Danio rerio: one gene and its partners. The protein of the gene in region 2 interacts with the protein of the main gene of each other region in a pairwise test. Links are inferred from orthologs where the notes say so. Each region holds a gene or a part of one and is shown on either strand. Other genes may lie near its edges.

Evidence for each region.
Region 1: the proteins of stx4 (region 2) and bet1 interact in binary tests that used the Homo sapiens proteins (3 or more experiments, as listed by UniProt). The two-hybrid records come from large-scale screens. The link is inferred for Danio rerio from reciprocal best matches to the Homo sapiens genes STX4 and BET1.
Region 3: the proteins of stx4 (region 2) and cybrd1 interact in binary tests that used the Homo sapiens proteins (3 or more experiments, as listed by UniProt). The two-hybrid records come from large-scale screens. The link is inferred for Danio rerio from reciprocal best matches to the Homo sapiens genes STX4 and CYBRD1.

Annotation. Positions count from the first base shown.
Region 1 is NC_133194.1:43,530,135-43,540,768, forward strand, and holds the start of bet1 (BET1 homolog), read right to left. Parts: upstream 5,526-10,634; 5' UTR 5,400-5,525; coding exon 5,381-5,399; intron 2,734-5,380; coding exon 2,624-2,733; intron 2,519-2,623; coding exon 2,462-2,518; intron 1-2,461. UniProt on the Homo sapiens protein: Required for vesicular transport from the ER to the Golgi complex. Functions as a SNARE involved in the docking process of ER-derived vesicles with the cis-Golgi membrane.
Region 2 is NC_133187.1:22,370,421-22,381,054, forward strand, and holds the start of stx4 (syntaxin-4), read left to right. Parts: upstream 1-5,052; 5' UTR 5,053-5,206; coding exon 5,207-5,236; intron 5,237-6,346; coding exon 6,347-6,454; intron 6,455-7,206; coding exon 7,207-7,306; intron 7,307-7,450; coding exon 7,451-7,525; intron 7,526-7,633; coding exon 7,634-7,704; intron 7,705-7,811; coding exon 7,812-7,920; intron 7,921-10,634. Other genes in the region: uncharacterized protein si:dkey-220f10.4, read left to right, coding at 1-39, 138-250, 329-443, 617-715, 2,632-2,803, 2,899-3,032. UniProt on the Homo sapiens protein: Plasma membrane t-SNARE that mediates docking of transport vesicles. Necessary for the translocation of SLC2A4 from intracellular vesicles to the plasma membrane.
Region 3 is NC_133184.1:3,505,649-3,516,282, reverse strand, and holds cybrd1 (plasma membrane ascorbate-dependent reductase CYBRD1), read left to right. Parts: upstream 1-5,712; 5' UTR 5,713-5,758; intron 5,759-6,219; 5' UTR 6,220-6,293; coding exon 6,294-6,536; intron 6,537-9,306; coding exon 9,307-9,461; intron 9,462-9,540; coding exon 9,541-9,751; 3' UTR 9,752-10,047; downstream 10,048-10,634. Other genes in the region: dcaf17 (DDB1- and CUL4-associated factor 17), read left to right, coding at 1,339-1,458. UniProt on the Homo sapiens protein: Plasma membrane reductase that uses cytoplasmic ascorbate as an electron donor to reduce extracellular Fe(3+) into Fe(2+).

The DNA of each region.
Region 1 (10,634 bases), on a different chromosome or scaffold from region 2:
GTATTCAGCTTAAAGTGACATTTAAAGGCAGTAGGTTAATTAGACAAGTTAAATTAGGCAAGTCGTTGTATAACAGTGGTTTGTTCTGTAGACAATCGAGAAAAAAATAATGATTAAGGGGCCAATAACACTGACCTTAAAATGACTTTAAAAACAAAAATTAAAAACTGCTTTTATTCAAGCCAAAATAAAACAAATAAGACTTTCTACAGAAGAAAAAACATTATAGGAAATACTGTGAAAAACTCCTTGCTGTTAAACCTCTTTTAAGAAATATTTGAAAAAGAAAAAAAAAACTTCACAGAAGAGCTAATAGTTTAGACTTCAACTGTATATACTGTAAATTTGTTTAGCATGCTTACGTTTCAAAAGATTACAGCGTTGCTTTAACCACAGCACAATTGGAACTTTAGAATGCCTTAATGTGAATGCATGAATATTTATTCTTAAATCCCAATGTCAATCTTTTAGTTTTTTTTTTTTTTACAACAGAACACTTTTTAATTTAGAGCTGCACAATTTCAGCATTCAATGTCTGCATGTGAAATTGTCACATCCCTGGATCTGCAATGTTGAGATGGGATTATACTAAATCCAACACCACCGCTCAGAAGATGAGATCTGCAAAGTTTAGCCATAATACATTGAAATTAGGGATGCTCATTTCAGTTAATTTTGCCAACTGACAACTGCCACTTGTTAACAGAATATTAACCATTAACTGGTCATATTAATATTCAATTATTATTTAATTTAAAAACTTGTATTTTGTGTCTGACACATTAAATATTGCATTTTAAAATACTTATTCTAAAACACACAACAAAGCATCTTCATGCACAATCAGGGAATCTTCCGTCCATTTCATATTTGTTTTCAAGCAAAAAAAGGAAAATTAAGAAAACTGACGTTTTTCGGTTTTCTTTTGTTTGCAATAGAACAAACTTTTTTTGTTGTTGTTTTTTTTTAGGGTAGGAAAATGGATAGATGATTTTAAAATTAATAATGCACATGTAGGCAGTGCTGAACACCCATTTGTCTCTGATTGGTATTCAAGATTTGTAAAGTGCTAACTAAGTTCGGTGCTAACTGATAAAGCATGTTAAATAGAAGCTATAAAATAATAAGATGCATTACCTCACTGTGATTTAACCATTACAGAAACAGATGTGCCTGGCTATATCATATCTAGATAAATATGCCTAGATATCTATATCATATCTAGAGAGCTAGTACAATTTACGTTTTTCTGACTAATTCGCGTGTATTTACATTGATATGATGCACATTTGATCAATTAGTTATTGTATTTCACCAAAACTACACACATTTTTTACTGTGAAAACAAATTAAAAAAAGCTATTTAAAAAATCAGTAGTTACAACTATTCAGTTTTGCGAATTGTATTATTACCTCATCAGCTCCTCAAAATAATGAATGATGATGATGGGATTTTTTTAAAACCATGTGACAACTGTGCCACTCCCACCTGCCGGTAGAAACAGATACTGCAGAATAGCTGACAATTTAATTACATGACTTAATAGCTGCGTTAACTGGAGCACAGTGATGTATGAGCTAATTTTAAAAACTTTGATAACAAAATAAATTTTATACAACCTATTTTTATTTAAGTGCAACATATTCCAACAAAAGATCAGGGGCTTTTGACAATACATCAGGGGCTTAAGACGCCACAGTCCCCCTCTTGAAACACACTGTGCATTTCTGTGTGTGCTGTACATGTAGAAACACCTTTCTATTTGCACCTGACACTTCCAAGGACTCAATGGGAAAATCTCATACATTTGTGGTACAAATCTTGTGAAATTATATCAATATCGCAATATATCGCAGAAAAACTAAATACTGTCAATTTTTCCCAAGATTGTGCAGCCCTATTTCAGATGCACAAATAAAAGCTTTGTTTTGTTACTTTAAAATTCAAACAATAAATGCTTTATTCTTATACTTTTCAATACATATTTAATATATAATGTACGTTTAAATGAATCCGTTACAAAGGAATTGGATTACTAATTGGAGTAGAAACAATTTCATAATTAGATTTAAATTATTGTAAAAACAGTCTCATGTTTGCATTTAGAATTATTTTAGCATGGATTTCAATATCTAAAAACTAATTGCAACTGAATTTAATAAAGGTCCCTGTTGGAAACTGTACACTTAAATATAGCAATGCTTAAATAATAAGGCTCCATATATAGTTTATAGTTGTTCCCCTCAATAGCAGTTGTACATTTATAGTTTCTTTACCCTTAATATCAACTGTACTTTTAACTGAATTTATTTAAAGACACAGCCACAATTTGTATAGTAAAAACATCAATGTTATGAATTTTTCCACCCATTAAACAGAAAACACCAAACTTCAAAACAAAAGTCATTTTAGTGTACCATGAAACCCCTACTAGACATTGAAAAACTTCCTGACACATACCATTTCTCCCAACATCTTATTGTGGATCTTGACTTCATTTCCAATGTCAATAGACAACTGCAAAAGGCATAATTAAAAGATTAAACACATATTTTCCAAAAATAAGAATAGTTATGCAGAGTAGTTAATCAAAATAGAGCATCAGATATGAAGGCCACTCACGTGTTTAAGTGCGTGTACTTTATCTCTCAGTCCCTCCTGTAGATGTTCATTCTCCTCCTCATACACACTGTATCCGCTCGCAACGTAATTGCCTTGAGGGCCACCTTCTCCTGTACAAGAAACATTCAGGTCAGGTCAAATCCAACGGAATTTAAAAAAAAAAACATTTAAAATCAAGTATTTAGTACTAAAAATAATAAATCTTATTACAGTAAACTGAAATGTTGCCTTAAAGAACTGGTTCACGACAAAATGAAATCTGTCAATGTTTACTCGCCCTTTAAATGTTTCAAACTAGTAGCTAGTGTTGTCACGATACTGGAATTCAATACCAATCGATACTGAAGCTTAAAAAAGCATCCATCTCTTGCTAAGATTTAAACACTGTTGATTACGTTCTTAAACACAGCTGATTTGCCATTGTGTTCACATGCTCAACAAAAATGACTGTGATTGGCAGTGAAGGTCATTAGTTCACCAATCTCACTGCTGTTCACTGAGTGTAAACACAGATACAGACACTGGAGCATTTAAAAGCCGCAATTCATCAGCAGATCGCTTGTATGTGAAGTTATAGACAAACCAGCTGATTGACGTGACTTTAAAATGCTTGTGTCCCTGTATCTGTGTTTACACTCAGTAAACAGTGTTGAGTTTGGTGAACTAATGACCTTCACGGCCAATCACAGTCATTTCTGTTGAGCATGTGAACACAACAGCAAATCAACAGTGTTTAAGAATGGGCTCAACAGCGCTCAAATGTAAGCAGGAAATGGACGTTTGTAAAATTTCAGTACCGATTGGTATCGAATTCCAGTATTGTGCCAATGCTACCTGTAACCATTCACCTCCATAGTAGCAAAAACAAATACTATGGAAGTCAATGGTTACAGGTTTTTAGCTCTGTTTAAAATTTCTTCTTTTGTGAAATATAAAAATTGTTTGGGGTGACTATCCCTTTAAGAGTAATTGACAAGTATGCACTGATTTGATTGATCAAATATTCTCTAAAGTTGGAAGTGAATTTGAAAAACCTAAACAAATAAGATTGAAATGTTCATCAGAAACTATTTAAAATCGAAAAGTAAAAACTCTGGATAAAATCTTGATTGTCTACATGAGACAAAATGTTGAAATTTGCAAAATAATGAATGTTTTTTTAAATTAAAAGGTAGATTATTTGCTTGGTGCCTCATTTTATCAAGTTTAAAATGGGTTTTATTTGCTTTATCAATCATACTTTACTGTTCAAATTAGTGCTGGGCCGATAAACAATATTATATCGAATCACAATAAAATTTTTGTCAATAACAATGACAATCTCTTGACTTTTCTACTCTATATTGATCTAAGAGCAAATCACACAGCAGAAATGTGCAACAATGGGAATCCAAAAGGGTGTTGATATTAGAGATGCACCGAATTTTCAGCCACGGAAATTTATTGGAAAAAAATGTTCTGCCATCTATTGCAGGGGTTCCCAAACTTTTCAGCCCGCGACCCCCAAAATGACAATGCCAGTGACTCGCGACCCCCAATATCATCTGAGGTTGTTATAAATACAGAAACCTTGCATGCAATGGTGCACACACGCCAATACACCCAGGTTTATTCTTTGTGTAATTTTTTAAAATGTATCTCAGTGCTGTAAATGGGCCAGAAAGTTTAAGCAGGTATAAAATCAATCTGCTGCATCCGATGCTATTGCTGTGTCTTTAATATTATGTAATTACTACAGGGGTCACAATCCAATAGAACTAGTAACTATAAGTTATTATATAGTTTATAGTAACTCTAAATGACTTTTTTTCTCTTCAGTAGGTTACAATATGGTAATTCCGGTTTAATAAAAATAAATAGATGTTTGGAAATCCCCAGGCGACCCTTCCTTTCATTGTCCTGCGACCCCTCAAGGGGTCCCGACCCCTAATTTGAGAACTACTGATCTAATGGACTCTTATTTTTGTGGCTTCAGTCAATGTTAAAGTACTATTTTAAATCTGGAAGCATTGCCAACTTGTATTGAAATATATGATGTTATGCTTCATATGGAAAATAATTAACGAGTTTGAATTCTTTTTTAATATCGCCCAGCCCTACTTCGAATAGAAGGTTTTTTAATTTCAGCTTAGATGTGTCATATTTATGCTGTTACAGTATCTCGTGTTGTTCATACACAGAAGTTGCTTTTCTGTATGATATAAATATATATGTAAACATGATTAATAAATAACGCCACTGACGTAAAGCTGGTTTTAAATTCACACATTCGAACTTTCTCCTTAATAATATGATTTCAGAAAAGTATTATTTGGAAGTTCTAAATAGGGAAATTATATTAGCAGACTATTAAAAACATTGTTCACAGTAAATTATATAGTGTTGTTTTGTAGTCATACTTACACGTGATTTCAGTCCGAATATTCAAACTAGCATAAAGGTAAACAATACAGGGAGCTGTCACAGAACAAATGTTCGAATATAAAAACAACTTCACCTCAATAACAACGATGGTGAAATAGAGAAATAGGAGTTGCTAGTTACTGCAAGAACGTTAATAAACGTTATTTATCCATTTAACGTTAACGTTAATTCTCCACACCTGGATTTAACGTTAATGTGTGGGTGATGATTTGGTCATTCAGAGATTGCTTACTGTCATAAACTGTGACCAATAACGTTAAGTTTTCTAATTGAGTTGAGATTTTAGCTTAGCATAAGCTTCAAGCAATACGACACATAAAAACGCAAACTTACCCAAACCAGCGCGCCTCATTGTCAACCCAGTAATCTATATGACGTGGATACGATCACTGCAGTCTGTAAAATAATGTGACAAATATTCGCTAATGTTGATATTTAGAGAATCTGTACTTTCCCCCTCCAACTTCACAAGCGCCACGACACCTCTTACGGAAGCCGCAGAGGATTAAACGATACGCGTTTAAGTTACATGGGCTTCTGGGTACTGAAGTTTTTACTGCGAGTATTGCGGTTAATTCTTGTCTTTATTTGTCATAATTCTAACATTTTCTTCAGCAAACTGTGACTTCATTTCTCAAAAGTAAGTTGACACGACTTGCAGGGTTAATTTAATTGAAAAATTGCAAACAGCTGTAGACTTTCTCACAGTTCAGACTCTAAGACAAGTCAGATTTTCAAAAATCTGTGACACTATTATTTATTTTATAGAAAATGTATAGACTTTCTCTCAATTCTGAATTTATCTTCATTCTGAGGTTCTTTCAAAGAACTGTTTTACTTTTTATAACTGATAGTACAAAGCCTTATATGGGAGCGACATGGTGGCTCAGTGCCTCACAGCAAGAAGGACGCTGGTTTGAGTCCCGGCTGAGTCAGTTAGCGTTTCTGTGTGGAGTTTGCATGTTCTCCCTGCGTTGGTGTGGGTTTCCTCCGGGTGCTCCAGTTTCCCCCACAGTCCAAAGACATGCGGTACAGGTGAATTGGGTAGGCTAAATTGTCCGTAGTGTATGAGAGTGTTTGTGAATGTGTGTTTGGGTGTTTCCCAGAGATGGGTTGCGGCTGGAAGGGCATCCGCTGTGTAAAAACTTGCTGGATAAGTTGGCGGTTCATTCCGCTGTGGCGACTCCGGATTATTAAAGGGACTAAGCCGACAAGAAAATGAATGGAATGAATGAGTTTGCATGTTCCCCCATTGTTAGTGTGGGTTTCCTCACAGTTTAAAAAAACTTACCCAGACTTTAAAAGAAACAGACTATGAGCAAATGAGTTTAATAAACACTGAAAAGTGTTTCACTGACTATATATACACAAATATTTTTTTACATTTAATATGCAAATTTTTGAATATTCATTTCTTTTTCAACAATATAAAATTGAGCATTTCATCTCAATGTTTGCGACGCGTTGGCACAGTGGGTAGCACGATTGCCTCACATCAAGAAGGTCGCTGGTTCGAGTCTTGGCTGGGTCTGTTGGCATTTTTGTGTGGAGTTTGCATGTTCTCCCCGTGTTTGTGTGGGTTTCCTCTGGGTGCTCTGATTTCCCCCACAAGTCCAAAGACATGCGGTACAGGTGAATTGGATAAGCTTAAATTGGCCATAGTGTATGTGTGTGATTGAGTGTGTATAGGTGTTTCCCAGTGTTGGGTTGCAGCTGGAAGGGCATTCGCTGTGTAAAACATATACTGGATAAGTTGGCAGTTCACTCCGCTGTGGCAACCCAAGATTAATAAAGGCACTAAGTCAAAAAGAAAATTAATGAATGAATCTCAGTGTCAAGAAATGCTTCTAAATCATTACATTTACACACATTTCAATTTTGTGTGGTGTGGCATTATTTAGTCGACTCTGATTTTGTGTGATTTTGTCTTTCTGGTGTTTCCTGCTGTCAATAGAGAAGTTCGGCGAAATGACAAAGAAAGCTAATCCTAATTGGTCCTCGTGCATGCATTAAAAATGCTGATTGGCTCACAGATAGAACCTTATAGAGCCAAGCTAGAGTTCAACTTTGTAGATACACCTTTTTTGTTTTTTTAAATAAAAAGCCTTAAAGTAAACAACATATAAAACACATCCCATAATGTAAATAAGTTGCCATTTAATAAGAATATGTGAATAACTCAATTTTGACAAAAATGTCAGATAGAACCTTATAACTCTAAGGTGACGAAATGTAGTGCCAAGTTGTAGCCTACGGAGCCATATGATAAGCTAAAAATAAATAAATGTGGCCTGTTGCAGAGACAGTAACACACAAAAAAATTGGTCAAAGCAACTGAATGCAGATTTAATTTGGCAAATGAAGAAATCATTTTGTGATATATATATATATATATATATATATATATATATATATATATATATATATATATATATATATATATATATATATATATATATATATATATATATGAGCAATTCCAGCGTTATGGATGTGACATTTGCAGTAAAAACTCAAAACATAATTTCACACAGAAAGTATATGTTGACATTATATCGAAACTTCTGTTTATATTTTCCAAAATAGCTCACCACAGAGTTATGGGAGCACAAAAATATCAATATGTAAACATGTTTTATATTTTAAATTAGGAAAATAAACATGCGTTATGGATGTGACAAAAAAAGTTTGCGAATTTACAGTCGACAACAGATTATTTAGAAATTCTGACAGTTAAACTGCACAACCCAAAAGACACAATGCTCATCAAACAGGTATGAGTCGGCTCACTATAGAATTAAAATGATTGATTTTATTTTATTTGACATTTTTGCATTTATGAAGAAAAAGTGTCGTTATGGATGTGACACATTTCCGTTATGGATGTGACAGCTGTGAAATTGCCACTTGTGTGATTTTGGCAAATTAAATATAATAGTTTGAAATACTGACAGATACATTCACGAGTATTTTTACAGTACTGTAAAATACTTGCTAACACAAAAAATGTAAAAACGGTTTGTCTATTTTGCTGAAAACTAAATAATTTTTTATGGCAAGGTTGACATTTGCGTGGAATTGCCCATATATATATATATATATATATATATATATATATATATATATATATATATATATATATATATATATATATATATATATTTATGAGTCTACATTTTTAATGTAAACTATTTTATGTTACTTACTTTCTCCCAGACCCATATATATCGAAGCTGATATTTAGCCACACCATATTGAGGTTTCTTAACATCTAGTTTATGATGTGTGTTGTTAGCGGTTGTTAGCCCAACGCTCAACCCCATCCTGGAGGACCAGGACATACACACATACACTACGTACAATTTAGCTTACCCAATTTATAGAATAAAATCGCTGTCATAAATATTTCGTGCATAATTAAAATTCACGCATCTGTAATTATAACAGCGTAAAGGAAAACAGAACGTACTCGTACATTTACAAGGGTACAAATACAAAATCTGCGATTAGAACAGACACAGATACAACATTTTCTTTGTCTGTTTGTATATGACTGATAAATGTACGATGGGTGTACTTTACAAACACGAAATACAGTTTCACCACGGACGCAAAGACCTGATTACGAGTATGAATCAAACTGTTTCATTCGTATCGTAATCAGGTTGTCGTGTCTGTGGTGAAACTGTATTTCGTGTTTTATTCTATACAATTCACCAACAGCACATGTCTTTGGTCTTTGGGGAAAACCGTAGCACCCGGAAGAAACACACAACAACTTGGGGAGAACATGCAAACTCCACACAGAAATGCCAACTAATCCAGCCAAGGCTCAAACCAGCGACATTCTTGCTGTGAGCCGACGTTGCCACTGTGTCACCCATTTTATGTGTTACGTAACATTTTTTAGGTTAATGCATGCCATCCGCTGAAGCGCCATTACAGGGTCTGTCTTGCCCTGAACTCACAGCACTTCAGTGTGCGTCTGTCCAATGTTTCTCATGTGCATGAACCTGCAATCTCAAAGAGCACTCAACAAAAAAAGCTTCAGACAAAAACCTCTCAAAGAGCAATCTCCGTCTTTCTGATGATCAGCCGCTAATCCACATCCATAGTGCAGAGTTCAGAGTTCATGTGTTGCGCAGCTCCTCGTCTGGTCCATTGTCCAGCAAAATACACCTCTGATTCTGACATCTGTGCACATAACACAAATAACACACATATTGCTTGAAAAGAAATGTCACAAGTTACAAATTTCTTGCTGCCCTACATTTTTCTTGTCATCTCAACTTACATCAAACTAACTAGAAACGTAAAGTTAACCTTTGCATAACTTAAAAAATGAGGTTGAAACCTGACGGACTTCCTAAAATAAGTCAAAGAAGCACACTTAAAAATACCCCAACATATAACCCAACTATAGGTTAATATATCACCTTCCCAACTATGGGTTATTTAATTTAACCCAATGCGTTATTTTGATTCATTCATTCATTCATTTTCTTGTCGGCTTAGTCCCTTTATTAATCCGGGGTCGCCACAGCGGAATGAACCGCCAACTTATCCAGCAAGTTTTTACGCAGCGGATGCCCTTCCAGCTGCAACCCATCTCTGGGAAACATCCACACACACATTCACACAAACACTCATACACTACGGACAATTTAGGCTAGGCTAAACTGTCCATAGTGTGTGTGTGTTTGTGTTTACTATAGAGATGGGTTGCAGCTGGCCTAGCCTAAATTGTCCGTAGTGTATGAGTGTTTGTGTGAATCTGTGTGTGTGGATGTTTTCCAGAGATGGGTTGCGGCTGGAAGGGCATCCACTGCGTAAAGACGTGCTGGATAAATTGGTGGTTCATTCCGCTGTGGTGACCCTGGATTAATAAAGGGACTAAGCCGACAAAAAAATGAATGAATGAATGATCTCAATTCAAGTGATGAAAGATTTCGAAATTCCAACAGTAAACAGAGCTACTGTAAGGTCACACCTGCTTCAGGTATATATGCTTCAAAATGATTTAGTTCAAAATATCCATTAAGAAATTAAAAGGAAACCAAAAATAATCAGATGTAATCTTATTTTACTTTTATAAAGTAATTGAAAAGGTAAACTACTAATTACATTTTAAATAGGGTAATTTGTAATCTGTAATCTTACATTTGCAAAGTCACCTCCCCAACACTGATTGTACACTGCTGACACTTTATTTTCACAAAAGTTATATGTTCATATAAATATTAATGCACCATTTTGCTATTATTTCACATGCTTTCTATGCATATACAATCCCTAGCAACTGTCCATAGACTTCCATTGTAAAAGACTGCCATTGACTTAACATTGAGTCAACCTTTATGAGCTCATAACTCTACATCAGACTGTCCTACAGACTAGTCAGGCCTCATTCAACTCAGTCTAGCCAGCAGCCAATCACTGATGACCTTTAGACTTACTAGCCACTCTCTAGCAACTGTTTTATAAATTATGACTAGCTGTTCTAACACATGCTAGTAGTTTTAACATGCTACTGACATGCTAATCTTGCTAGGAGGAACATGCTAATGACATGCTAGTCATGTTAGCA
Region 2 (10,634 bases):
ACTTATTACCTCCACATGGAGAAAGAGGATGGGAAACGGGTTAGCAGAAATGTTAATAGAGAAATATTTGAAAAGCAATTTTACTTTTCATTTCTTAACACACCATTACTCTCTTTCCTTTTGTTTGGGATGGGCAGGTCTTTCTGATGGCTGGCAGGAAAAGAAAAAAGTGCAAAACGTCCAATTATTTGATATCAGTTGATCCTACAGATTTATCCAGAGATACTGACAGCTACATTGGAAAATTAAGGTTTGTGCCATAGCAGTGACACATCACAAATCTTTATGCTTGTGAAGCAAATCCTTAAAACATGGTTTGTCTTCTCAGGTCAAATGTCTTGGGGACTAAGTTCACTGTGTTTGATAATGGTGAGAATCCTGAAAGGAAACCATTTATTAAAGAAATGGATACACTGCGACAAGAGCTAGCAGCAATATTTTATGTAAGATGGTTGTTGTGTGCATTAGATAAAGTGTACAGTAGGTTTCAATTGTAATTAATTGTATTTGGTTGTATATTGTATTTAGTTGTATTTTGTATTAGTATTCACCATACAGTAATTTTATATGTTTTTTTTTATTGTAAAATTCTTACTTTTTCTTTAATGTCACACAGGAAAAAAATGTTCTGGGTTTCAAAGGTCCCCGCAAAATGACAGTAATTATTCCTGGTATGCACGAAAATGATGAGAGAGTCGTTATTCGACCAAAAAGCGTAAGTTGTTCATTAGTTAATAAAGTTTGGATGATCACTAATATAATAAACATGGAAAGATTTAATTTCAATTTTTAAAAAAATATCTTAATCTTTGCAAGGCTGCATTTAATTGGTCAAATGCTATGCAATGCCACATAACTATTGTGAAATATTAAAGTTTTATATATGTGTATATATTTATAAATGTAATGAACCATGATATGTTATTTTTCAGGATTCTTTGATTAATAGAGAGGTCAAAGAACAGCAATTACTTGTCTTTTTATTCACAACATTATAAATTTAATCAATAATTTATAAACATTCAATATCTCTTTTGATTAATTTAATAAATCTTTGGCAAAAAAAATTATAGTTTAAAAAAATACATTTTTATTCTAGATATCCTTACACTTTTAATGAGTAGTGTATAAGTATAATATCCTGAAATATTCAGTCCCTCCATCATATTGCAGGTTTATTTATTTTTCATTCATTCATTTTCATTTCGACTTTGTCCCTTAATTAATCTGGGGTCACCACAGCAGAATGAATTCAATTCAATTTAATTCAGCTTTATTTGTATAGCGCTTTTACAATGTAGATTGTGTCAAAGCAGCTTCACATAAATGGTCATAGTAACTGGAACAGTGTGGTTCAGGTTTTAGTGTTTAAGTTCAGTTCAGTTTAGCTCAGTTCAGTGTGATTTAATCATTACTGAGAGTTCAAACACTGAAGAGCAAATTCATCGATGCGTAGCTCTACCAATCCTGAACCATGCGAGGCAGTGGCGACAGCGGAGAGGGAAAAAAACTTCACCTGATGGGAGTGAAGAAAGAAAAACCTTGAGAGAACCAGACTCAGTTGGGCACGACAATTTTAATTTCTCCGCTGGCCAAAACTCTTGTGCAGAGCTTCATTCGCCGTGGTTGAGGCTGGAAGATGGCCTCAATGAAGACTCGTCTGTCCCTGGAGCGTCGCTGGAATCAGACTCATGTTCTCCACTCCCCACGAACCATCAGCGCAGCAGCAGCTCAGGATATGGCCTGTTCCCGGATATGGAATCCTTGGGATCATCCGCCAACTTATCCAGCATATGTTTTATGCAGGTGATGCCCTACCAGCTGCAACCCATCACTGTGATACACTCTCATTCACACACACATACATTACAAACAATTTAAGCTTGCCCAGACTTGTACCGAATATTTTTGGACTTGTGGGGGAAACCATAGCACCCGGAGGAAAGACACGCAATCGCGGGGAGAACATGCAAACTCCACACAAAAACGGCAACTGAGCCGAGGCTCGAACCAGCGACCTTCTTGCTGTGAGGTGACAGCACTACCTACTGTGCCATACTGCGCAATATTATTATTTATATTAATAATATTAATAAATCAGTGTCACAGTAGCACAGTGGATAGCACGATCACCCCACAGCAAGAAGCGAATGCAAGATGTGAAGTATATGTAAATGCAAGAGTGTATGGGTGTTTCCCAGTGTTGGGTAGCAGCTGGAAGGGCATCCGCTGTGTAAAATTTATGCTGGATAAGTTGACAGTTAATTCCTCTGTGGCGACACCTGAATAATAAAGGACTAAGCCGTAAAGAAAATGAATGAATATATAAATGATATTAATAATTTTTTTTATCTGTGGTCTAAAAATTATTGATTTTGTGATGCCTTTCCTCAACACTTTTGATATTATTTGCTTCAATTATTGTTTTTTTTTTTATGTGAAAATACAGACAAACCTTGTAAAATGTGAAAAATGTTTGATCTCAATAACTATTGGACTTGCAAAATCCTGGAGGGACGGAATATTTATAAATTTAAAAAAAAATCTTCTTATGAGTTTGATTCACTACTGATTTATTTGTATGTATAGTAATACCATATTAATAATAAAGATCTACTTTGCATGTTCCAGGAGCTGGAGTCTCTGCTCACCCGATACGAGAACGGTAATAAAGAGAATCTTGTCACTCTAGTCAATAAATCACCCAGCTGGAATGAGCAAACTCAGTCGTATGTGCTTAATTTTCATGGCCGAGTTACTCAGGCATCTGTCAAAAACTTTCAGATTGTCCATCCAGATAATGGTATGTGTTTTTACTCGCAAATTATTTATAACATATGACAATATTACAGTTCCCAGTTGTGATTTTTTTTTTTGTGGCTCAACATCTCTCTCCAGTGGACTACATTGTAATGCAGTTTGGCCGGGTTGCAGACGATGTGTTTTCCATGGACTACAGCTTTCCCATGTGTGCTCTACAGGCATTTGCTATCACACTGTCCTCATTTGATGGCAAACTAGCATGTGAATAAGCTTTGTTTATGTGTATTATCTGTTCTTTTGAAAAAGGGAAACTTAGCAGTATTTTATGTTATTCAGTCAGGAATGAAAGACGTTTAGATTTGTATTATTCGCAAATGATGGCAGTAGAGCATCAATCTGCTTCTCTTATTTTGTTCTTATATGTTATGTGGTTAATTTGCTGAATTCAACTATGACTGTTTTATAAGCAAATAATGAATTATGCCATATTGTTTTTCTTTGTTTACATGAGAAAATTAAATTTTTCGTGTTAAATAAAAAGTTATATAAAGCTAACATGGAATATTATCTTTCATAAGATCACATTCTTAAGAGGATATTTCACCCGAAAATAAGAATTCTGTCATCACTGTGTGCGTTTCTGTTTATGTTACCTTGCCAGTTCCACGCCACCCAATCCGCTCCAAGCTAGTATCGAACCGGCGACCTTCCGCATGGGATTCGATTGCTCTAACAAGGAGGCTTAAAACCGCAAAGCGCAGAGCTATAAAAAAAAATCTAATTGTTGGGTTTGTATGTGTTTACATGCTAATCAGTAAACTAAAATGGTACTTTGAAAGACTTTTCACTATAATGCTCTTCTGGGAAGCAAAAACTTCTTCATGTCATCACTTTAAAATCTCCAGTTTTGGTTCTTCCTGTCAAATCTATTTTTAGGTTTATGATTTCCAGCTTTCGATTTTCTTTTCTTTCTTTATACAATTACTGATCTGATATCCGTTAAAACTCGCAATTCTGACTTCAAAACTCAGATTCTTTTTGCCCCCTACTGAGTGATGCACCCATGTGGATATGTAAGCCCGTTTTCGCCACTGAGTAATTTTTTTGAAGTAGTTATTGCATTCAGAATTTTAATAATAATTCCTTAACTTTATATAGCACTTTTCTGGACACTCAAAGCACTTTACACATTTTTTGGGGGGTGGGGGAATCTCCTCATCCACCACCATTGTGCAGCATCCACCAGAATGACGGCAGCCATATTGCACCAGAATACACACCAGCTGATTGGTGGAGTGGAGATAGAGTTATGATGCCATGATGGACAGAGGCTAGTAGGCAGCTTTGGCCAGGATGCCGAGGTTAACCCCTGCTCTTTTTTTTCAAAGGACATCCTGGGATTTTTAACGACCACAGAGAGTCAGGTTTAACATCTCATCTGAAAGACAGGACTCACTGACAGTATATTAATGTACCGGCGTGTTAGGAGACATACAGACAGCAGGTTGAGCTGGTCTCCCTAACACACTTGTGGCAATAACCTACAGTTGCTTTCCCATGTGGTATCCCATCCAGGAACTGACCTGGCGCAGCCCTGCTCAACCATGAGAGTTGCAGAGGGCTAGCTGCCGGCAATGCTAATTATAGCTGGCTTTATAACTCTTATGTAATAGCTTTATATAATTGTGACATATATCTCAGAATGCTGTCTTTATATCGCACAATTGCAACTTTATATTTCAGATTTCTGACAAAACCTGTAATTGTGAAGTATATCTCAAAATTCTTGCTTTATTTATTTACTCAGAATTGTGACATTTTATATCTCTGAATTGTGACTTTATCCTAGAATTCTGACTTCATAACTCTAAATTGTAACTTAATCTCTGAATTGTAACTTAGAGTTCTGACTTTATGACTTATATGTGAAAATTATGTCTTTATATCACACAGTTGTGACTTTATGTCTGAGAATTCTGACTTTATAACTCGAAATTTTGATTTTAAATCTCAGAAATCTGAAACAAAAAGCGGGAAAAGATAAAAACTGTTATTCTCTGGCGGAAATTGGCTTCCTTAAATAGCCTCAGTCGTGTCGCTCAGTAGGGGGCAGTAAGAGCCTTGACGGATTTGTCAGACATCCGCAAACTGATAGAGAAGAAGAAAACGGTAAAGTCATATACAGCGACATCGCCCCACACTGATCTCTAAACATAACCAGAGTTTATCCATATAGCATAGATATACACAGCATCTCTCAGCGTCCATCAATATTCTGCTCTGAAAGTTATTTGTGGAAGTTGGCTGGCGTGAAATGTGACTTTCAATGGAAACTCCCTCTTATCTGTTGTGAGTTTTGCAAGTTTATGGTCAGGAGACAGATGAGCTACACCTCTTAAAAACGGGAACATTTCATCTGAGCTGGCCATAAAATACATCGAAAATGCGGGACCGGACCAAAGAACTGGGCAATGTGAGTAATTTCAGGGCAGTGCACGCAGGAAACCGGCTAACTGGCTAACGGGCTAATGTTATTCAGCGGATGTAACTACTGTCACCACTGGCTCGACTGCGATTTATTAACTCCTTCAAGGATTGTAACGAGTCACAATCTATAGTTGTGTGGCTTATTTTCTTGTGTTGGAAAAATATATGGTTAAAGTCCACGAACGGTAGGCTAACACCCTCTTGCAGCACCAGCGCTCTTGGGTAAACGGGGTGTAACTTTATTTAGCCTACAAATAAATACAGCTGCCATGAATGGTTGCATTTGAATATTGATTTTAGTTTTTCTCACAAGAAAGTTAAGCGTTGAATTGGTACTTAACTTTTAGTTGTATTATTATTAATACACTGTCATTCGCTCGGCAATAAAGGTTTATTATCATCCGTTTGTTTTTTCACGTAATTGTGTTGTTGCAGTTTCTTCTGTGGGACTACATTTGCCTTTCGACAAACAAATACCTTTAAATGTCCCAAAGAGAGTCACAAAGGGTTAATTTCACAAAGTTTTTACACTAAATGTTGCACATACTGAAAAATATGAATCTCCTGTATATGGTTTTTACTTCGTTTTCCTGTAAAAGCAAAAAAACTATAATGTTAATAAATTCACACACAATAAAACACACTATCTGTCATGTTAACGTGTTTTTCCTTAAAGCTACTTTTTGTGTAATCCTAAATTAATTAAATTCAAATATATATTTTTCATAAAACATGTCAAGTAAATGTAAAATATATCTTGATTTAAGACTTTCACACATTTGCAAAACGACGAATATAGTGGAAGATGTTTTTTGTAATGTGATGAGAAGAGTAACATTTTTAATGGCTATTCAGTTTTGACTTTTTTTTGTAAGTTTAGAAATAACAGATCTGTTTACTTTTTTTTAAACTTTGAGGTATTATTTAAAATAGATATTTTGCTAACCTTATTTACCTTTATCTAAGCTGCAGAAACACTGTCTTGCACTTTGTATGGTGGTAATATTTTTAAAATATGATAACATACAATATAAAAATTTATTAATAACAATATTCTTAACTATATTCAGTGTCGTATTGTGTACTCTTTTACTAGACTGCTGATGCCTCAGATGAAGATGAAGAAACCGTAGCTCTAATGATAAAGCCTGGATCTGGAACCTCAGCAAATGAAGACAAAGAAAATGAAGCTTTCTTTAAAAAGGTCATTGTAGCACGATTGCTCTCATTTTAACTGCAACTTTCAATACTTTTATGCACTAGTTTTAGGGATCTGTACAGAAGTAGCATGTTGTTTCTGTAATTAATGATTTTTGAACTGAAGTGTGTATTGTTGGTTCTTGTATAATATAATTTAGAAATCCTGCAATTCTGAACTGTGATTTTCTACACTGCAGGTTTCTCACAAATACTGATTAGTACGGTGGCTGAGAGCGCTCAAATGTACTGCACCAACAAAAAACACCAATAAAAAAGCATTTTTTATCAATTATTAATGCAAAAAATGTACAAACAACAAGGAACCTTACGACCAGGACATTAAAATAACCATCAGACAGCAACCCTGACAGGCTCTAAACAGGAAGTAGCTGGGTTTGTCTCTTTTGGGGTTCCCTGACACATTTCTGTCATGTGCTCTTTGCATATGTGCATGTGTTGTGAGAATTTGCTTACACATATTGTCAAACGAATGAACACATTTTCTTAGTTTGGTTTTTCTATATGCATATCTTAGCTTACAGTACATTTGAGCTCTCTCTCCACCACCGTAGATTAGGAACATGCACATGCAAACAGTAATAAAGGAATGAAGCTGTTTAGTGTTTGTGCAAACTTCATGTAATGTCAAACATTACACATAAATTACATTTGGGTCACTTGAATTCCATAACATTTGTGCTTGGAAAGTTTGCATTGAAACTTGACATAAAAATATATTTTCTTTTTTCTATGTAGGTTCAGGAGATTCGAGAGGGACTTGAAACTCTTAAGAGAAAGGTTTCCGAATTGGAGAACAAGCAGAAAACAGTGCTAGGAGTTGCACTTCCAGAGGACAGTAAGTAATTTAGCTTTCACTTGGGTTTTTTATTATTCATTTACATAATCTTATGTTGTGTGTGTGTATTAATTAATAATTATGAAGAGAGTAAGTTAAAGGATAGTGAGTGAATGAGTAAATTATATTTTTCTTTGAGCACAGGTATGAAAAAGGAACTGCAGTCACTCAGAGAAGACATCAAAGGGATGGCCAGCCAGATCCAAAAGAAATTAAAAAGTGAGACTGATAAATAAAATTTTATAAATGAAGCTTTTTTTTTGACAATCAAACTTTTCTGCTCAACCTAACAAATGTGAAAAATTAATCACTTCATTTACATCATAGGTCTTGAACCTAAGAAATTGGAAGTTGAAGAAAAATATATCCCAGTGAATGTAAGAATGAGGAGAACTCAGGTCAGTTGCTTTTATATTTCATGTTTTAATAAATAATTAAACTTAAACAGTGTTGTTTTGCCTGAGAATAATCTGATCTTGTATGTCTCCTCATCATTTTTTGAAAGCATGGTGTTTTGTCCCGTGAATTCCTGGAACTGATGGGTCGCTGTAATACAATTCAAGCCCAATACAGAGACCGAAATGTGGAGAGGATTAAAAGACAACTCAAAATCAGTATGTGCTTATTCTGCTGTGCTTTTTTTCATTGATCTTATTAGCATTCTTACAAAGCCATCTTTTTAATGCACTGTAAGGCCTGGGACACACCAAGCCAATGGTCTGCTGTTGGACTTTGTCTGTCCGTTGATCAGGCTAGTTGGTTTGGTGTATTCTACGTGTCGACTCTCGCCGGGTTAACATTGTTCAATGGCCTGATTCAGTGTCTAGAATCGATGTCAGACCATAAGCTGAAGAGAGTACACTGACTGGTTATTCAGGAACGAATCAGAGCACGCGTGTGACATAGATAAGTCGTCTCCTTGGAATTATAAGGTTCTATCTGCATTCTGAATGATTTTGAAATATTGAACTTCAAAGTTTTTGCATTCCATTTGTTTTTTTAATTAAAAAGTCTTAACATGTAAACAACTAATGAAGAACATACCATGATGTTAGTAAGTTGTCATTTAATTAGAATATGTCAATAGCTCAATTTTGACAAAAATGTCAGATAGAACCTTATAATTCTAAGGTCACGAAGTGTTGTAGCAGGTAAACAATTCAAGTCAAGAAGGAACACTAAAAGGCTGGATGTAATTTCAATAAATTTCTCAAATATTTCCAACAATAATGCAATGATATGAATTATTAGATTATCAGACTGTTGCGCAGGCACAGAACGCGGCTATCATTTCAATGAGCTTTCGTCTGTTTGGTATGGTTACTCGCAGATTTTTGGGTCCATCAAGAACCTATGCAAAGTGACGAAACAGTTGGGTTTCATTAGCCGCATTTCCACTATCGGGCCAGTGCGAGCCAGGGCTTTTATCGGGCCAGGTCGGGCCAATAGCCCAGGAGGTTGAGCAGTGAGGCCGAAATCATGTCGCGTTTCCACTGTCGGGCTAGTAGCTCGCAGCACGTCATGCAAACCCAGCCCTCAGAACATCCTCCTAATCGAACGTCACCCAATCCGCCCACTTCAGCAGGAATCAGGCAGATAAAGCACACCACATGATTACGAAACTATTAAAATTAGGACAACCAAAACAAACAAATGACATGTTACTGTACAGCAGTACAATGTATGTCTATACAGAGAGTGCAGAATTATTAGGCAAGTTGTATTTTTGAGGAATAATTTTATTATTGAACAACAACCATGTTCTCAGTGATCCCAAAAAACTTATTAATTTCAAAGCTGAATATTTTTGGAAGTAGTTTTTAGTTTGTATTTAGTTTTAGCTATTTTAGGGGGATATCTGTGTGTGCAGGGGACTATTACTGTGCATAATTATTAGGCAACTTAACAAAAAACAAATATATACCCATTTCAATTATTTATTTTTACCACTGAAACCAATATAACATCTCCACACTCACAAATATACATTTCTGACATTCAAAAACAAAACAAAAACTAATCAGTGACCAATATAGCCACCTTTCTTTGCAAGGACACTCAAAAGCCTGCCATACATAGATTCTGTCAGTGTTCTGATCTGTTCACCATCAACATTTCATGCAGCAGCAACCACAGCCTCCCAGACACTGTTCAGATGTGTACTGTTTTCCCTCTTTGTAAATCTCACATTTGATGATGGACCACAGGTTCTCAATGCGGTTCAGATCAGGTGAACAAGGAGGCCATGTCATTAGTTTTTCTTCTTTTATACCCTTTCTCCCCAGCCACGCTGTGGAGTATTTGGACGCGTGTGATGGAGCATTGTCCTGCATGAAAATTATGTTTTTCTTAAAGGATGCAGACTTCTTCCTGTACCACTGCTTAAAGAAGATGTCTTCCAGAAACTGGCAGTAGGACTGGGAGTTGACTCCATCCTCAACCCGAAAAGGCCCCACAAGCTCATCTTTGATGATACCAGCCCAAACCAGTACTCCACCTCCACCTTGCTGGCGTCTGAGTCGGACTGGAGCTCTCTGCCCTTTACCAATCCAGCCACGGGCCCATCCATCTGGCCCATTAAGACTCACTCTCGTTTCATCAGTCCATAAAACCTTAGAAAAATCAGTCTTGAGATATTTCTTGGCCCAGTCTTGACGTTTCAGCTTGTGTGTATTGTTCAGTGGTGGTCGTCTTTCAGCCTTTCTTACCTTGGCCATGTCTCTGAGTATTGCACACCTTGTGCTTTTGGGCACTCCAGCGATGTTGCAGACCTGAAATATGGCCAAACTGGTGGCAAGTGGCATCTTGGCAGCTGCACGCTTGATTTTCTCAGTTCTTTGGCAGTTATTTTGCGCCCTTCTCATTACAGAGATGCACATCTAATATTCTTAATTGGTAGTAGGCTTTCGAGCCTATACAGCTTGGAGTAAGACAACATGCATAAAGAGGATGATGTGGTCAAAATACTCATTTGCCTAATAATTCTGCACTCCCTGTACACACATGCCTGTGTGTTCTCATTCATCGTATTCATTTACTCGCTGACCGACTGTTGGCATCGAAATCCAGTGGTCTTGCCACTAACGAAGGGACCCAGCGCAGGGAGCGCACACATCCATAATATAAAACCCCATATATAAAATTCTCCGTTAATAACTCGATATAAAATGTATTTTATGACATCCTCAGTTAGACAGACGATGTCCAACATTCATCCCAAATGCTCTGGAGAGAACTGAAACATGAACTTTTCCATATAGGCTTTTATGACACTTAGGTGATTCCCTTTATTTAAAGATGTTGCTTATCATATCTTAAGTAAAGGAAA
Region 3 (10,634 bases), on a different chromosome or scaffold from region 2:
GAAACTCATATTTAGCCTTTAAGAGCTGCTTCAGATAAAATACACACACAAATTCAGTCTTTACATCTTCCTGAATACAAATGTATAGTATAGGCCAGTGTTTCCCAACTCTGGTCCTGAAGGCACACCAACTGTACACATTTTCATCCTTTTCCTAATCAAACAAACCTAAATCAACTCTTCAGAGCATTAGAAGAGACTACAGAAGCTGAAGTTAATGGGTCTGATAAGGGAGACATACAAAATATGGACTGTTGATGCGTCTCCAGGAACAGGGTTGGGAAACACTGGTTTACACCTGCATGTTAAATAGTTTTTAAACCAAAAGACACTCGTATTTGTCCTTTAAGTGCTGCTTTAGATAAAACACATACACACACACACACACACAAATGCAGTCTTTGAATCTTCCTGACTAAAAACGTGTTTTCTAGGTGTTTCCTATGTGTTTGCCAGTGTTTCCCAATCATGTTCCTGAAGACACACCAACATTACACATTTTCAACCTCTTCCTAATCAAACACACCTGAATCAACTCATCAGAACATAGTTAATGGGTCAGATGAGGAAGACATCCAAAATATGTACTGTTGGTGTGTCTTCGGCAACAGAGTTGGGAAACACTGGTCTAGGCCTGCACAATAAATCATTTTTAAACTGAAAGAACTCATATTTGGCCTGTAAGTGCAGCTTCTGATAAAAGACACACACACACACACACACAAATGCAGTCTTTTATATCTTTCTGACTACAAATGTATTGTCTAGGCCAGTGTTTCCCAATCCTGTTCCTGAAGGCACACCAACAGCACCCGTTTTCAACCTCTTCCTAATCAAACACACCTGAATCAACTCATCAGAGCATTAGAAGAAACTCCAAGAGCTGAAGTTAATGGGTCAGATAAGGGAGACATCCAAAATATGTACTGTTGGTGTGTCTCTGGGAACAGGGTTGGGAAACAAGAGTCTAGGTCAGCACGATTAATCGCTTTTAAACCGAAAGAACTCATATTTGACCTGTAAGTCCTGCTTCAGATAAAACACACACACAAATTCAGTCTTTACATCTTCCCGAATACAAATGTATCATCTAGGCCAGTGTTTCCCAACCCTGTTCCTGAAGGCACACCAACAGTACACATTTCAACCTCTTCCTAATCAAACACGCCTGAATCAACTCATCAGAACATAATAAAACCTGAAGTTAATGGGTCAGATGAGAAAGACATCCAAAATATGTACTGCCGGTGTGCCTCCAGGAACAGGCTTGGGAACCACAGCATTAGACGCTATTTTTTTAATTGCTCATAATTCAAAGGTTCTCCTTTGTTTTTCCAGACCTACAGTCACGAGGTGTACTTTGACAGAGACACCATTATTCACACTGTCCAGGAGAAGAACAACAGCTTCTGTTGCCATGTTTATAAAATGAAGAGACCGGCTTCAGACCAACCATAATGAGCATGCTTCATATCATGTAGACCAGGTCCTGGAGGTCTGGTGTCCTGCAGATTTTAGCTTGCCTTAACACACCTAAAAGAATGTTTCTAGAAAGCCTAGTAAGAGCTTGATTAGCTAGCCCAGGTGTGTCTGATTGGGGTTGGAACTAAACTTTGCAGGACACACAGGCCCAGGACCGAGTTTGGACATGCCTGATGTAGACAAAACAACGTAATAAAAGATGTCTGTTACTGTATTATAATGTAGATATTCTCCTATGTTGATGTTTGACAACTCGAGAGCAGAAAATATATATATTTTTGTATTATGAAGCATGAATCTTTCACACTGTCATTTGTATTGGAGAAATTGCTGATCAGTGAGCATTCATGCATTGACATCAATGACCTGACACGGTTCTGTTTACTAATTTATATCAGTATGCAAACATTAACTCAAAACTATCTTAATAAAGACAGAATTTTGTGACAGATACTCTCTTGTCATGATTGTGAAACCAAGTTACGTTGTATAACACTGTGGTTGCTTACAAAACTGTCGAGGAAAAAAAAAAAAAAGAAAAGCAGCCTGTGTTTCATTTAGTGAGCTGACAGACTTCATGAGTTGCCTACTTAGACAGCATGAGGTGTCATAAGTCTAAGCAGAGAGACATTTTGAACAAAGATTATATTTTAGCTAGAGATGTACAGTTGAAGTCAGAATTATTAGCCCCCCTGTTTATTTTTTCCCCAATTTCTGTTTAACGGAAAGCACATTTTTTTCAACACATTTCTATACATAATAGTTTTAATAGATACTAATAGATATTTTTCAAGACACTTCTATTCAGCTTAAAGTGACATTTAAAGGCTTGACTTGGTTAATTAGGTTACCTAGGCAGGTAAGGGTAATTAGGCAAGTTACCTTCCTTTTTTACTATTAAAAGCACATTTTAATTTAAATGTGATGTTTTTTGTTTTTATTTGTTTTTTACTTATAAGCGCAGTACAGTGTTCATGTTCAGACTATGTATAATATTTAAATGGCTGACACTAATAAATTTTCTTAATAATAGTAATTCATCTGCCACGTTTTTGAACTGTGAAGAGTTGTGTCTGCTTTACTGGGCCTACTATGGCTACGCTACTGTTTTTCAGTACTGCCCATGGAACTTGGAGAGACTATTTTTTTCAGAGGTGGTACTTGAGGAAAAAAGTTTGAAAGCCACTGCTGTAGGCTATCGAAAAAATAATAATTAAGCTTAAAGGGGCTAATAACATTAACCTTAAAATGATGTTTATAAAATTAAAAACTACGTCAGAAAAAAAAAGTCTCTCCAAGTTCCATGGGCAGTACTGAAGTACAGTAGCGTAGTCATAGTAGGCCCAGTAAAGCAGCTACAACTCTTCACAGTTCAAAAATGTGGCAGATGAATTACTATTAATAAGAAAATTTATTAGTGTCAGCCATTTAAATATTATACATAGTCTGAACATGAACACTGTACTGCGCTTATATGTAAAAAACAAATAAAAACAAAAAACATCACATTTAAATTAAAATGTGCTTTTAATAGTAAAAATGGCAGGTTACTCTCAATGGTTTTTCCTTCACTTTCGTCAATTGGTGAAGTTTTGTCCTCGCCACAGGTTTGCTAGGTTTGGCTCGCATAGATGGATTTGCTCTTCTGTGTTTGGACTTTCAGTAGTGAAAGCAACTCAATTCTGAAAACTGGACTGACACTGTTTCCATCTATTATAATATTCTATGTTAAACTGCTTTGACACAATCTACATTGTAAAATTGTACAGAAATAAAGATGAATTGAATTTAGAAGTATTTCTTGAAAAAGCCCTTCTTAATTTAATATTAAAACAAGAAAAATAACAATTTAACTAAATTCAAACTAAAATTAAACCAAAAAAAAACAAGAATAGTTTGCTTGTTTTAAGGAAAAACTCACTTAATTTTGACTGATCCTATTCTCTGAAAAACGCTTCTTAATTCAAGATTATTTAAGATATTTGAACTATAGAAACTAATTTTTTTTTTGGATGATGCCAAGTATAAAAGTCAAAATCAAGATAGTTATATACTTTAATAAAGGATTTTGCTTTCATATTTTGAGAACTTCCACTCCCCTGCTACTTATTTTTCTTTATTCATAATTTTTTAGATTTTTTTTATTGTATTTTTATTTATATATGCTGTCAAAATGCACCAATCGATTTGTGTTGGAATGACATGAGGCAAATTAAGTTATTAGTTTTTACAAATTTAAGTGGATTGAACATAAAACAATTAAGCAGTCCCCAAAAAAACTGAAGAAGTGTGTTGTTTCAGCTCATTTTTAATAAGTAGTTTGAACAAACCACAAACAATTTTTTTAGATGTGTTATTAATGCATGAAAAGATTGTAAATGTAAATCTCAGTCATTTGTGTCATTTTAAAGGTATTAATGCTTTTCTATTCAAACGTTGTTAATTAAGAAAAGATGCTGCCCGCCCAGGCGCCATATTATGATTTGGGACACATCCCGTTGTTTGGGTGAGAAGTGAAAACGCGAGCCAGCCCCCAAACTGACGTGTCTTGTGTGTGTTTTCCTGCAGCGGGTCAGTCAGATGTTGAGTGTCATCTAGTGCACTTCAGAGCTCGAGGATGATGGAGAACTACCCGCAGTTTCTGCTGTTCTTCATTCTGGCGTCGGTGGTCGGGATTGTGTCGATCGCGGTCGCTTTATCCTGGGTTTTACACTACAGAGAAGGGCTCGGATGGGACGGAGGAGCGGCTGAGTTTAACTGGCACCCGCTGTTGATGGTTATAGGCTTTATTTTTCTTCAAGGAATCGGTAAGGAGTTGAGTGTTTGCATCTGTTGAGACAGTCTGAGGTTTCACATTCCTGAGTGTGTAATCAGGATTTAAAGCAACAGGTCACGTTTATGACCCACACAATTACATTACAGTTTTCAAAACATTTAAATAACTTAAGTAGCCCACCTTAATGTGTCGTAACGTTGCTTTTCTCATGATTTTGGGTGTGATATGAAAACGGACAGTATAATGATTTAAACTCCGAACAAGTGCGTTTTTTCGCAACAATAAACAAAGCAAAATAAAACTAAACTCGCATGAGGTTACTTTTAACGGAACGTTAAAAACTTTTTAAATACATTGAACATCATTAGAGAAATGTTCCTTGTTTTCTTTAGGGTAAATGTTAGACTTGAATGCTTTGAATGTTGTGTTTGATTGACGTCTAAACGCAACTTGGCTAATATGGAGCCAGATCAGTCTCAAAAATAAAACATTTACAAAATAAAGTTCATACATGGACAGCACAATTCACATTAACAAAATCCACATTGAAATTTAAAACATAATTTGTAAATACGCTACATAACACACAATTTGTAAGTTCACCAGTTAAAAATCTAATATTGCCAATTGATTTGTATTTGTGTATTTACGAATTGTGTTTTGAATTTACGAATTGGATTTGCGTATTTATGAATATGATTTGTGTATTTATGAATCATGTTTTGAGTTTACAAATTGGATTTGTGTATTTATGAATCGTGTTTTGAATTAACGAATTGTATTTGTGTAGTTACGAATTGTGTTTTCATTTGACAAATTGGATATGTGTATTTTGGAATCGTGTTTTGAATTTCCGAATGGCATTTGTGTATTTACGAATCGTGTTTCCATTTAACGAATTAGATTTGTGTATTTTTTAATCATGTTTTGAATTTATGAATTGCATTTGTGTATTTACAAATCGTGTTTTCATTTGCTGAATTGGATTTGTGTATTTACAAATCGTGTTTCCATTTGACGAATTTGGATTTGTCTATTTTTGAATTGTGTTATGAATTTACGAATTTCAATTGTTTATTTCTGAATTGTGTTTTGAAATTCCGAATTGTATTTTTGCATTTTACTAATTTTGTTTTGATTTGATGATTTGGATTTGCATATTTTTTACTTGTGCTTTGAATTTATGAACTGAAAATGTGCGTTTCTGAATTGTACTTAATTATTGGATTTTGAGTTGTAGATGTATTCGTTTTATTTTGTAAATGTATTATTTTTGTGACTCTAATCTGGCTCAATAGCTAAAGCTAGGCTATATTTAGACTGTCAGTAAAAATCTAATAGACATAAAAAAAAATAACCCAAAACTAGACTTTTGCTGATGTGCACCGATTAGACAGACTTCACGTGTGTCGGTATTCATTCCTGTCTAATTGATGTGTAGTCTTGTTTAAGGCTTTTCTTAAAATTTTTCCCAACTGCCTATAGGTAGCCTTGTTTTAGGCCAGCCATCTATGTCTAGACGTCTATTAAACTTCTTTTAAACACAAAAATACTTGCTGAGATGTAAGGATGAAAAATTACACGTGTTTAGTGGACATCCAGCTAACGATGTCTAACGATGACAACATTATGATGTGTCAGTATGACCGCATAATATTGAACACTGTATTAATGTTACAGAAAGAACATTTAAAAAACACTGAGAGAACATTTCCAGAATGTTAGTGAAAGATCGGAGAATGCTCTTGGCATTGAGGCAAAGTGGGTTTTATATTCGCACATTCGTTCAGTGACAGCTTGTGACGCGCTCCCTATTTTGTTTACCATGGTAGTCACATGACCTCAAAACAACATCAGCACTGTTTAATTGACTGCAAACAATGCTGTATGTTGATAGTCATTGGCTGCTAATATGATTTCCCTACTTAGAATTTCCAAAGAATACTTACTATATTATTAAGGAGAAATGTTAGTTTCTTGGGACATGTTTGTATTCGAGTATTTAAAACGTCATCGCCCCCCTCATGGCATTTGAATGCTCTTCACGTCTTTTTTTTCTTCCTCCTCAGCAATTGTAGTGTACAGACTGCCATGGACCTGGAGGTGCAGCAAGCAGATGATGAAGTTGATCCACGCAGGGCTGCATATTCTCGCCTTCATCTTGGCTGTGATTTCTGTGGTGGCTGTGTTTGTTTTCCACAATGCCAAAAACATTCCCAACATGTACAGTCTTCACAGCTGGGTTGGTCTGGCTGCTGTCGTACTGTATCCATCACAGGTATGAGTTCACGGACACTGGTGTACATCTACACAGGGTCGAAGCAGGTGCTGTAAGTGAAGTTTTAGTTCTCATAGAGGTAAACTGAATGTTTGGCAGATTTGTGTAAATCAGCGGTGAATGAAGTACACATTTAAAAATGCTGCTTGTTTAAACTACTTATTTAAAATAAGCTGAAATGTGGTTCAGATTTTCACTTTTAATTGTTAAATATATATATATTTTAAATTTCAAACTTTGAATTTGACTTTATTTTCATTGAAATGACTACACATTACTGGCGAGGCAGTGGCACAGTAGGTAGTGCTGTCGCCTCACAGCAAGAAGGTCGCTGGTTTAAGCCTCGGCTCAGTTAGCGTTTCTGTGTGGAGTTTGCATGTTCTCCCCGCTTTCGCGTGGGTTTCCTCCGGGTGCTCCGGTTTCCCCCACAGTCCAAAGACATGTGGTACAGGTGAATTGGGTAGGCTAAATTGTCCTTAGTGTATGAGTGTGTGTGTGTGGATGTTTCCCAGAGATGGGTTGCGGCTGGAAGGGCATCCGCTGCGTAAAAACTTGCTGGATAAGTTGGCGGTTCATTCCGCTGTGGCGACCCCAGATTAATAAAGGGACTAAGCCGAAAAGACAATGAATGAATGAATGGACTACACATTATGTAGTTGTTTCTTATACTGTGAACAGACGTATACTGTGTGCAAGTCTGTATGTAAATTTCCTAGGCTCTCTTATTGCATTTAAACAGCTGAAAAAGTTGACATGTAAATCGTAAATAAAATGAATGAAGCTGTTTTATTGATACTGACAACGTTCAAATGACTTTAAGGACAAAAGCATATTTTGTGAGAGTCAGTTTTAGTTTAAAATAATATGAGAATGGACATTACCAAATGTTAAAGGGTCACGAAACACCAAAACTCTACTGAAAAAAACAGCTTAAACCAGCCTAGGCTGGTTGGCTGGTTTTAGCTAGTCGACCAGGCTAGTTTTAGAGGGGTTTTGGCTACTTCCAGGCTGGTTTCCAGCCATTTCCAGCCTGGTCTTAGCTGGTCAAGCTGGGAGATGGCCAGCTAAAACCAGCTTGACCAACCTAGCCAGGATGGGAGCCCAGCTAAAACCAGCTATGTCCAGCTTAAACCAGGCTGGTCAAGCTGATTTTAGCTGGATTTAGCTGGTCATTTTATAGACAGACCAGCTAAATCAGGCAGGAAATGGCTGGAAACCAGCCTGGAAATGGCCAAAACCCCTCTAAAACCAGGCTGGTCAACCAGCTAAAACCAGCCAATCAGCCTAGGCTGGTTTAAGCTAGATATTTCAGCAGGGAACCCATATTTTGAGATGTTCACAGTAATATATGTTAGTAGTCCCATGCTGCTATAAACACTATAGGGACACGTATATTTCACACACAAAAAAAGAAAATTGGTTGTTTTTGCGTTATTTTGAGCAAATTCGTTCTTGCGGTTTGAAACCAATTTTTGAAGCTGCGTCACGGTGATTAGATTCTTGTGTGTAATCCAGCGTGGAGAGGGGGATAAGTTTGTTAAAACAAAAAAAAAAAAAAAAAAAAGAGGCCATGCAAAAGTGGAGACCCAGGTGGTTTTATTATTACAGAATATGTTTTTCCACTATTCATAGGTTTTACACTGATGTAGATATATAATACAAACGAAAATTAAGTAACAATTATTTCTTTGATAACTGGAAAATAATATTTGAACCTATCAGTTTACAATATGCCCAATTTCTAGGCTTTATTGGTGGTAATGGTCAGGAATGTTTGACCATTATTTCCTTTTTAGTTTATAAGTGGAGGACAGAAACTAGCCAGACAGTAATGTGTGAATTGAGTGGGCAAAAAAATAATAATAATAACGTCATAATTTTTTGTAAGTGTACTTTTTTTGTTGTTGTTGTTTTATTCTTGCCATAATAAAAAATATAATCTTAGAGCAACCCATGTTTTTATTTGTATTTAACTTTTAATCGGTAGAACTGTACGGTAGATATGAACAAAAGCAAGTGATGCATCAAAATTTGATTTAAAAAATCTTGAATGATTATAAAAATCTTTATAATCATCATAATAAATTATAAAAAAACAATTAGTTAAAAAATCTTTAATGATATTAATGATATGACGAAGTTGTGGAAACGTTCTACTGCTTTGTTTATCCGTCTGATTTTACTGTCTTGTTTCTTTTAACCGCCCCCTGTCATTAAGAGAATATCTCAATGGCGGTCAAGTATAAAAGCCTCGTCCGTTTCGTGAGGTGTGCGATGCGGCGCCAGGCAAAAGTATAAATCAGCCTTAAGATGTTTGTTGGTTTTTTTCTGTAGTTCAGTGGTGCATCTAACCTACCTTTAGTACTGTTCAATTTAAATACATTCATTTTACCACTAATTTAGTAATTTTTTTTTTCATTTTCTCTTTGTGTATGCGTGTTTTTGATATTGTGATATAGGTCTTAAATTTAATACCTAATAGTCTTCAAAAGGTCTTAAAGTCTTAAATTTGGCATTATGATATCTGCAGGCTTGAACCATGCAGATTTTTTTGTAAAATATAAACAGATCTTTCAATATAATGTTAACGTATATTTTTACTGTTTTGAGTTTTTACTGCAAATGTCACATCCATAACTCTGGAATTGCTCTGTTTAAGAATGGTTAAAAGACCCCTGCTAATCGTCTAGATATGTATTGGTATTTCAGATGTGTGTGTGTGTGTTGCATGTGATCGGTTTTGATGTAGCTCTTCTTTCTGGTGATTCAGATAGTGTTGGGGATCGCTGTGTATCTGATACCCGTCACCCCAGTGCGTGTGCGTGCAGCTCTTATGCCTTTGCACATCTACAGCGGCCTCTTCATCTTCATCAGTGTCATCGCCGCAGCTCTCATGGGCATCACTGAGAAACTCATATTTAGCCTGTAAGTGCTGCTTCAGATTAAAAACACACACACAAATACACTTCCTGACCACAACTGTGTTGTCCGTCATGTGTTTCAGGAAAAGTCCTGCTTATAAAGACTCTCCTCCTGAAGCCGTGTTGGTGAATGTTCTCGGGCTGCTCATTGCTGCATTCGGTGCACTCGTTGTCTGGATTGCTACTCGCTCCGCTTGGAAGAGGCCAAGAGAGGAAACGGCGCAAACGTTGTCCAATAACACCACAAGCCCAGAGGAGATCAAAGTGGGCACTGATATGACCACAACAAGCTGAATCCAACTTCGAGATAAGCAGATGTATTGGAAAGCAGAAGAGTCTGCGTTGTAAAGTTTGTTGATGCCAGTTAAAGGGTTATTTCACTCAAAAATGTCAACTCTGTTATTAATTACTCACACTCATTACGTTCCAGTCTCCTTGAGCCCTTCATTCATCTCAGTGAAGGGAAGTTCAGATCATTTTACTGACTCGGATCTTTGAGTCTCGTTCATCGAGATGAACGAATCCTTTTTCGAGTCATTTCGTTCAATTTGCCAAAATATTATTAAAATGTTATGAATTGCTTCCAAACATCTACAACTAGCCCAAAAGGTTGATCACACCACAAATGTCATAACTAGAATACTATAAGAGGAGAAAATAATAGTTCGAAGTTTACCTGCTGTTTCGTCTATGAAGGTATTGTTGTCTCTTTGCTCAGCTCACCTCTTCATGTCTTCAAATCTCAGTGGTTCGTTCACGTTACACTGACAGTCACATATAATCTTAACCAATGTGCACAGTCTGAGCTGATAGGAGCCATGATAATTAGTTCACCTTTCACGTCTTCTGGTTCTTGAGTCGTTCGTTCATCACGTGACAGAATGACTCAAACTCGAGGACTCGAGGAACGGATCAATTCTTTTTCCGGCTCTAAACGCATATGATTGGCCCGTGATGAACGAATGACTCAGACCCGATAGAGGACTCGAGAGAGGAATAGATCAATTCTTTTTCCGGCTCTAAACGCATATGATTGGCTTCTGCCTTTCCGCAATGAACGACTCAAAAGAATTTAATAAACGATACAGATGTGCGCATATGCGGATGAACGAATCACTCCCTGAGAGGACTCGTAGATCCCGAGTCATATTAAAGATTTGTTCAAAATGAACGAGTC